Coturnix japonica: one gene and its partner. The protein of the gene in region 2 binds, or shares a complex with, the protein of the main gene of each other region. Links are inferred from orthologs where the notes say so. Each region holds a gene or a part of one and is shown on either strand. Other genes may lie near its edges.

What was found.
Region 1: the proteins of CNOT1 (region 2) and NANOS1 are in contact, whole or in part, in a crystal structure (PDB 4CQO), measured with the Homo sapiens proteins. The link is inferred for Coturnix japonica from reciprocal best matches to the Homo sapiens genes CNOT1 and NANOS1. Residues at the interface, in NP_057368.3 of Homo sapiens: Ile2327, Ile2330, Lys2331, Trp2338, Glu2350, Phe2353, Gln2354, Val2356, Ala2357, Met2361; in NP_955631.1 of Homo sapiens: Phe40, Ser41, Ser42, Trp43, Tyr46, Leu47, Leu49, Thr51.

The regions. Positions count from the first base shown.
Region 1 is NC_029521.1:26,722,659-26,726,941, forward strand, and holds the start of NANOS1 (nanos homolog 1), read left to right. Parts: upstream 1-1,481; 5' UTR 1,482-1,570; coding exon 1,571-2,335; 3' UTR 2,336-3,932; intron 3,933-4,283. UniProt on the Homo sapiens protein: May act as a translational repressor which regulates translation of specific mRNAs by forming a complex with PUM2 that associates with the 3'-UTR of mRNA targets. Capable of interfering with the proadhesive and anti-invasive functions of E-cadherin.
Region 2 is NC_029526.1:1,180,147-1,183,656, reverse strand, and holds part of CNOT1 (CCR4-NOT transcription complex subunit 1), read right to left. Parts: coding exon 3,388-3,510; intron 2,935-3,387; exon of another isoform or gene 2,799-2,934; intron 2,410-2,798; coding exon 2,293-2,409; intron 2,006-2,292; coding exon 1,895-2,005; intron 1,268-1,894; coding exon 1,190-1,267; intron 884-1,189; coding exon 706-883; intron 235-705; coding exon 104-234; intron 1-103.

The DNA of each region.
Region 1 (4,283 bases), on a different chromosome or scaffold from region 2:
CACCCAGTCCTGGCCATGTAGTTTTAATGTATATAATAAGTAACAAAGCTACTTCACAAAACACTTCAGTCTCAGAAGAAAACAAGCACATCTGGGCAATTAAAACAATGGGAAATCCTCTGATTAATCCTTCTACAAAACAACAGAAGACGAGCACTGAGAGCCTGATTTTGTGGTTGCTTTTCTCTCACAGTTAAATCCCACTTTATCATCCCGACAAAAAACAAAATGCCTTTTTTATTCACCAGGAGTTCTCTTACAGACCTAATCAAGTTGTCAGGAGAAATACTATTATCCTCACCACGTGAAATTAATCTATCAGGAATTTATCTACTGTATTGAGTGTGTATATGACACTCATTTGGATCAGCTCGTATATACGTCTTCTGCTTGGTAACCCTTCACGCAATAAAACAGCCTTCAGAACTCAATCTGTGGATGTCCTACAGCCTTTGGCACAGCTGCTCTGTGTTGGAGCTTAGCAGGAGCCCTCGCTGGATTTAATCAGGCAGGCAGAGCTCAGAAATTCAGCCGGAATCCTTGCTGCTATTAGAAATATGCACTGTCATTTGCTAATTCAGGCTCAGAACCAATTGAGAAACTCAGAGCCATAAATCCTCGTGTGAACGTTGAGTCCTCTGCAGCATATCCTGGAGCAGTCATTTTTGGAGAGGCAGAATACACAGAAGAATGTAGAGCGTCTAGCCAAAGTGTTATATGAAATACTCTTCTCAATGAAGCCAAAGACTTTTCCAAAACTGAAAACTTCTGCTTTTTCTGCCTCTGACGGCCACAACCTCACACAGGAGCAGCAAAGTGCTGCACATCCATCCCTACCCTGGCACTACAAGAGGTGAGAAGCAGCCCTGACAGCAAGCAGCAGCAGCAGCCCACACTGTGCCAGCTCTGCAGCTGATCCATGAGGGACACACAGCCCTCAATGGGGGATGAGGCTGGGTGGGCTCTGAGGTCCTTCTAACCCAACTTATGCTGTAGTTCTACAGCAGGGAGAGGACTGACAGCACCCACTGCCTGACTGGATGCCACGTACCAACACAGCGCATCAGCAACGCCGATGCTGATCCAAACCAGCAGCTTTTTGGGTGCTAAAATAGTTCTTTTGGTACTAGCAACGTCTTTTTGGACACAACCAATGGCTTTTTAGGTACTACCAATACTTCTCGTGGGTACCAATGATGCCTTTTAGGGATACTGGTAGTTTTTGGGGTACCGACAGGGGATACCAATGACAGCTCTCAGTACAAAGGATGCTGTGGGGGTACTAACAAGAGCTTGTTGGACAACGACCCCCCACCCAACGACCCCCGGGACACCCCACGCACACCTCCCCGCCCCTTCCCTGTTCCCACCCCTCCCACCTCCCACTCGCCAATGAACGGGAGGGGTCTCTGGTCGCCGGCGAATGAGAGAGAAGTGGGCACCCCCCCTTTCCATCCCCCGCCCCTATTTAAAGTGCGTGGCGCAGCCGCGCGCTCCCGAAGGCAGCGGGGGCAAATAGCGGCGGGGCCGCTTTGGGGGCGCGGGCGGGCGCTCCCGGACGGCGCCCCCCATGGAGGCTTTTCCCGGTGGAAAGCTGGAGCCGCACCGGCACCTCCCGGCCGTAGAGCGCCTGCAGGGTGCCCGCTACGGCGGCCGGAGCCACAGCGCCTGCGGGAACGTCTTCAACTCGTGGAACGATTACCTGGGGCTGGCCACGCTCATCACTAAAGCCGTGCGTCCCGGGAAGGGCTTCGTTGCCGAACCGCCCGCCGTGGTGGTGGCGGCGGCCGAAGAGGAGGAGGAGGAAGAAGAGGAGGAGGAGGAAGAAGCGGCGGGGCCGTACTTCGAGGGCGCGCTGGACTTGCACGAGCTGGAGCTGTGCGGGCACCATCACCACCACGGCGACGGGCTGCTGGAGGAGCGATTCGCCGATTTCAGCCCCTTCCCCGGGCGCGGCGGCCCCGCAGCGGTGCTGTTCGACTGCTCGGGGGAGCACGGGGGCCGGGACGGCTCGGGCCACGCGTGGGGCGCGGGCGTGGTGGTGGCGGGTCGGCTGCCCGCACACCCTCGAGCCGCGGGGCGCCTGCTGAAACCCGAGCTGCAGGTGTGTGTGTTCTGCAGGAACAACAAGGAGGCGGTGGCTCTGTACACCACGCACATCCTGAAGGGACCCGACGGCCGCGTGCTGTGCCCCATCCTGCGGCGCTACGTGTGTCCGCAGTGCGGCGCCACGCGGGACAACGCGCACACCAGGAGGTTCTGCCCGCTGTCCAAAATGCAGGCGGCCAAACAGCTCCGGCACGCCCGGACCGCGCTGGGCAAGAAGGTCCGCTAGGAGCGGGGGGCTCGGGGACTGGCGGGCGGCTTCGGCGCGGCGGGGACGCCCTGTACGTGTTTCTTGTAAGAAATATAGAGATACGTGGTTTTTAAGGAAACGCCGTTCGCCGCCAGTTCCGACACCGGGCGGTGTGTCTCCCTGCTGCCCCCCGCGCTGCCCGCACGGCTTGGGGAGCGGCCGCCCGCTGCACGGAGGGGAACGAAGGGCTCAAAGCCGATCCAGCGTCCCAATTGGAACCGATGGGGTTTTTGGCTCGGTGGTCGGCAGCAATTCGGTTGAAAGGCTGCACCCGGGGAGGGGCAGGAACGGGACGGTGCCGCCCGGCTCAATGTGCGGCTCTAAGGATGGGGGGGAGGGAGCGGAGGGGGCTGCGCGGTGACTGGGGGACACACGGAGCGGCCCCTGGTGTGACTGTGGGCTTCTGAGGAGACCCAGAGCGAGGAACTGCCCAAAGGAAGGTGATGCGTTTGTAAGGCTAAAGAGTGTGGCTTTAAGTGGGTGGGGGCACGGGGGAAGCACCCGTGTGGTTACCGAGTAGCTTTCATGTATACCGAACACGGGACGCAGCCACGGGACTGCGTCGCTCTCAGAGAGGTGGGGAATTTGCTTTCATTGCAACTTAAAGCAGGAGAAGGAGCAGCAGCAGCAGATCTGTGGGTCTCTCCGGGGTCCTCTGGAGCCAAGAGGGCAGTGCAGAAGGCTCTGGCTGTACCCAGGTTCGCCTGGAGGGTGAGAAAGGCACCGCGTCCTGATGGGAAGGGGAGATGGACAAGTGAGAAGTGACGGATTTAATGTGAGTTCCTCCTGAGGAGCTGCTCTGTGGGGTGGGACAGTGAAGCAAGTAAGTGGGACGGGCAGGAGTGGAGTCAGGATGGGCTGGAAGGAGCCTGGGGGTCGCTATTCACAACTGCTGTTGGTTCCCTCAGCTGAGAACAGGGTTGTGAATGGAAGTGCTCTCTTCAGGCTTCATCACATTGCTCCAGCGATGGCATTAGGTCTAATTAGCAAATGCAAATAGACTTGCATTAAATACCACCTCGCTGTGGCTGCAGCTGGCTGTATGGAGCTGCCTGTTGGCTGTGCCAGCTGTGTGCTGTCTCTCCTTCCATGTGATTTGCCCTGCAGGTTCTCAGCTGGTAGAATTCAGGCATTGGATTTTGTGATGTCTGTCTTCACCGCAGATTGGGATTGAGCTCCAGTGTAACGCTGTGGAACAAATTCAGTCTCTTTGTTAGCTTCTTGATGAGCATATGTGTTTCAATTCGGGTGACTGTTTATGGACACAAAAGCAAGAAAGATGTAAGGAAGGTTCTCAGCTGCTTTGAGGGGACATTCCGAGGGCTGCCATACACCCACCTCCCCTGGTCTGTAGATTAAGTTACCCCATAGCAACTGCCCCACTGCACCGCCTGGGAGCTTGTCAAGATAGCAGAATGTCTCCTTGCCATGGATGCCAGCCCTGTCTGTGCCCTCCACATGGGTGAGAAGAAAGCTGCTCCTGTGATGGTGGCTCCTGCTGTGTGTGCTGAGTCCTCCAGCTGTCCGTGTGTACCTGCACTGCGTGGCATCAGGCCTGGGAGTCGGGCCCCAGCAGGTAAGGCAGCAGCAGTGGCTGGAGAGAGCAGCTGTGTGTGGGGTGGGAGGGGAATCGGCCTACTTCAAACTGAGCTCCCAGAGCCATTTCCTGCACACCAGCACACTCTGCAGCACCGAGCAGGCAGACACACCTGCCTTGTGGTCACAAGTCTGTTATGGTAGATGCTGCTTACACACACACTGAAACAGCTTATGGTAGTAACCTAAACTCCTAGGAACAGCGTGTGCCTTCATCTGCCAGCAGCCCATGTTGGAAGCTATTGCATGCTCCACAGGTGTCTTGTTCAGCCTGATGCTATTGTTATTTATTCTGCACACAGCTGCAGATCTTTAGATCTGGCTACTGGTT
Region 2 (3,510 bases):
AACTCCAAGAAATAGCTTTGAATTCTATAATGCCAAACCCACTAGCTAAGATCTGTGGCAATGTCAGCAGTAGGAGCACTTAGTAAACCAAATCAGCACTTACCGTTGGATTTAAGGTAATATGTGGAGCCAAACCTCCTAACGAATACACATTGATGTCATGATAACTGTACTGGGGCTGTGGAGGAACTGTGGCTGTACAAGTGGTGCTGGTAGCTGGAGTTGTAGAAGCAGCTGTAAGAATATAAAAATGCTTATTTTAACCATTAGGGAAAAGTGAGTGATTAAAATGGAAGCACGCACATCATTTAAGTGATGAGTTCTGACCATAATGCTTCCTTACAGGTACCCAGCTTTTTTCCCCCCACCTCCACAGTGTCTAGCACCAGGTTAACTTCAGGGCATTTTGGCAGCTGTTTGTTACAGCAGGGTTTGAACCCTGCTACAATCTCAATCTGTCTCCCAGCTTCACTCTCTTCTAAAGAGCAGTTACACACAGCACATGCAGAATTAGTCCGTGGGATGGCTTCCATTCCTCTCCCATCTCCTAATCCTGTTAACATCCTTCTATTACACCACTACTTTAGTGATTCTAAGCTTTCAGTAATGTTACAGCAGTGCAGATAGCTTCAAATTCTTCTCTACAAGCCTGTCTTTCTAAACTTCATACAGCACTGTTCTGAGTTTGATTTGAGGCATACTTACTGGTGGTTGTGATGGGTGGCAGCTCTTCTGGCTGCTTCACATCTTTCTTAGGAGCAGACAGCTGCTCATCCAGATTTTTCAGACGATCCTTATCTTTCAGGAGGCTCCCAGGTTTCAGCTCATTGATGTCCAGTGCAAGATTCTTGCAGAGCACTTCGATCTCAAACTTCAGATTCAACTGCACAACAATTTTAGTTTAGGTTATGTCACAAGGAAAAAAACCCAAACTGGCTGTTCTAAACCCAAGCTTCATGTTCTAACTCATGTTGTCTTTTCTTTTGCATAAGCAAGTGATGGTTAGACAAACAACCTGCACATTAACCTCACAGAAATCAAGACTCACCCACGCTCTTACTAAGTTAGCAATGCCCAGTTCCTCACACAATGAAGTGAGAAGTGAAATTTGGTCCCTCACAACATGTTTCTGACTGGTATTGTCAAGAAAACCTCAAGCTCAATAGGTACAGCAAAACAGAAAATTTACTTTTAGATCATGTTCTTGATGCAGCTCAGCTAAAACATTCATAATAGCCATTGTCCATGGGTTTGGAGGCCTGAAAACCTGCAAGAGAAAATGCAAAGCAGCATTACACAGTGGTCTGGAATGGTTTAGTTCCCTTAAGACTAATACATTTTGAAACTGAACCATTACATGCACATACAGACAGGGGAAACTGAAGTTTACACAGCTGCAGGCAAAGCTGCTTTTAGTATTGAGAGAAAGCAGATGAACAAGCAAGCTGAACGCCAAACTGGAAGCACAATTACTAGACCCTTCTGAGAGATCAGTTGCTTAGCCAAGCAGAGTTAAAGAGAGCTCATCAGAGACAAAACACGCATGTTGAGGGTGGAAGGAAATAAATCCACCCAAATAAGAAATAGATCCTAGAACCCCTCCAGTGGCATCCTTTTGTTTCTCAACAGAGGTCTGTGTCTGGGGATACTACAGTACAGTTCAGCCAACATCATCTGTTTAGGATGGACCCCCCCCCCCCAAAAAAAAAAAACAGAACAAAAAACCCAACCAGACAAGTACTTTATCTCAAAATGGAACTAACTTGAAGCCGTGATATCCCTTTACACCCCCCACTACACATGAAGTTCATTGGGTTTAATGAGAAGCACTACTTAATTTCTGCAATGCTTGTGTTGCCACTTGAGCAGTAACAGCCCCAATGTAGTCACTTACCACACTCCTGACACTGGATTCTAAGACTTTGGCAACAAATGGTACTACATAAAGCAATTCCTGCTGTCCCTTAACGTACGCTTCCAGTAGTAGTGACTTCACATCCAAATCCTGAAAAACACCATCAACAATTAAAAAGGGTAGGAAAGCAGAAAGAAAAAAACAAGACCACTGCAGAAATTCCATTGACATGTTATTTTCTTATAGGATATAATGGCAAAACAGAGTTTTACGGAATGCTAAAGAGTGATCTTGCATTTGAACAAAGATTCACAGATGGATATTTTGACGTAATATTACCCCCTTCATTTTGGTGATAGCATTTCCAAAACAGCCTATGCTGCTGAATAATACCACAGTAGTTTGCGTCAAGCAAGTCTGTGAAGACAGAAGCTTACTGTGTGCAAGATGGGCTTATTTTTAGCCAGTGTAATCATTCCCAGCCAGTGACCAAGGTTCTTCAACAAGGAACGGTCAGAGAAGTTGGCTGCAGCCTTATCTGATGTCAGTAGCACCTAATGGAAAAAAACAACTCAAGCAACAACTGGAAGATAAATCAGACACAACACCAAATCAAACAGCTGCTCTGACCTGAAGCAGAACACCAAGTTCTGAGCTCCAGTCCCATTACAGAGATAGTCAAGAGCAGCCTTTACCCTCAAGGTAGCATCCCACCAATCTGCCTTGTAATGACTTCAAAATTCCTTTACTTGGAGGGGATCAGAAAGGATTACGCCTTCCCAGAGCTTTCCAGTTACTGATAAGGCAGCTAGGCTACCCAGCAAAATGTAACTTGGGAAGACAATGCTTCTTAACACTTCATTGCAGACCAGAAGGCATTTCCTGGGAAACGATTTAATTCTTACTTCAAGACCTAAAACATGCTCTAGCATTCTACTATTAGCTTTGTCCCTTGGCTTCAGAGCAGCATCAGCCAAACAGAAGGCCAACCACACTCTAAAGAGCCAGGAGATTCTTTTGCACTACAGCGTAACCCACGGTGGCCAAGAAAATCCACCAACAGGTTTAAAAATAGTGCTTCCTTGACAGATTTGATTCACTCACTCACCTCATCAGGGCTATTTCTTCTTGACCTCTTCAGCATGCACGTTAATTTAGTCCTCTAATGATTTTTAGTTGTTACACTTCTGTTTACTCTAGCTCCCTATCCTCTATTTTTCAGCTAAAACAGCAGAGTGTGGTTCTCATCCTGATACTCTCCCACACAAACTAGACCACAAAGAAATTTTCCCTGCCGCAATTTGCAGGCCTCATACAAATATGGACTTAAATGCAGATATACCCTCTTAATCCTTTCTGACTGAAAACAAAACAATCCCAGTATTCATACAGTAAGATGTTAGCTTAAGCTGAAGTAGACTTTCCCAAGATACTCCATTTCTGAAGATAAGCAGCACAGGAAGAAAATGGCCTGAGAACAGCATACCTCTAAATGCTAAAACTTACCCAAGTATTAGAACTTGTGCACTCACCTTGATATTTCTGTAAGTCTCATTCAGAACCATTTTATTAAATTCTGGATTCTTAAGAGTGTCGAGGAAGTTTGAATATAAGCTGTGAAAATTTGGCTCAATACTGACTCTCTTCATCACGAG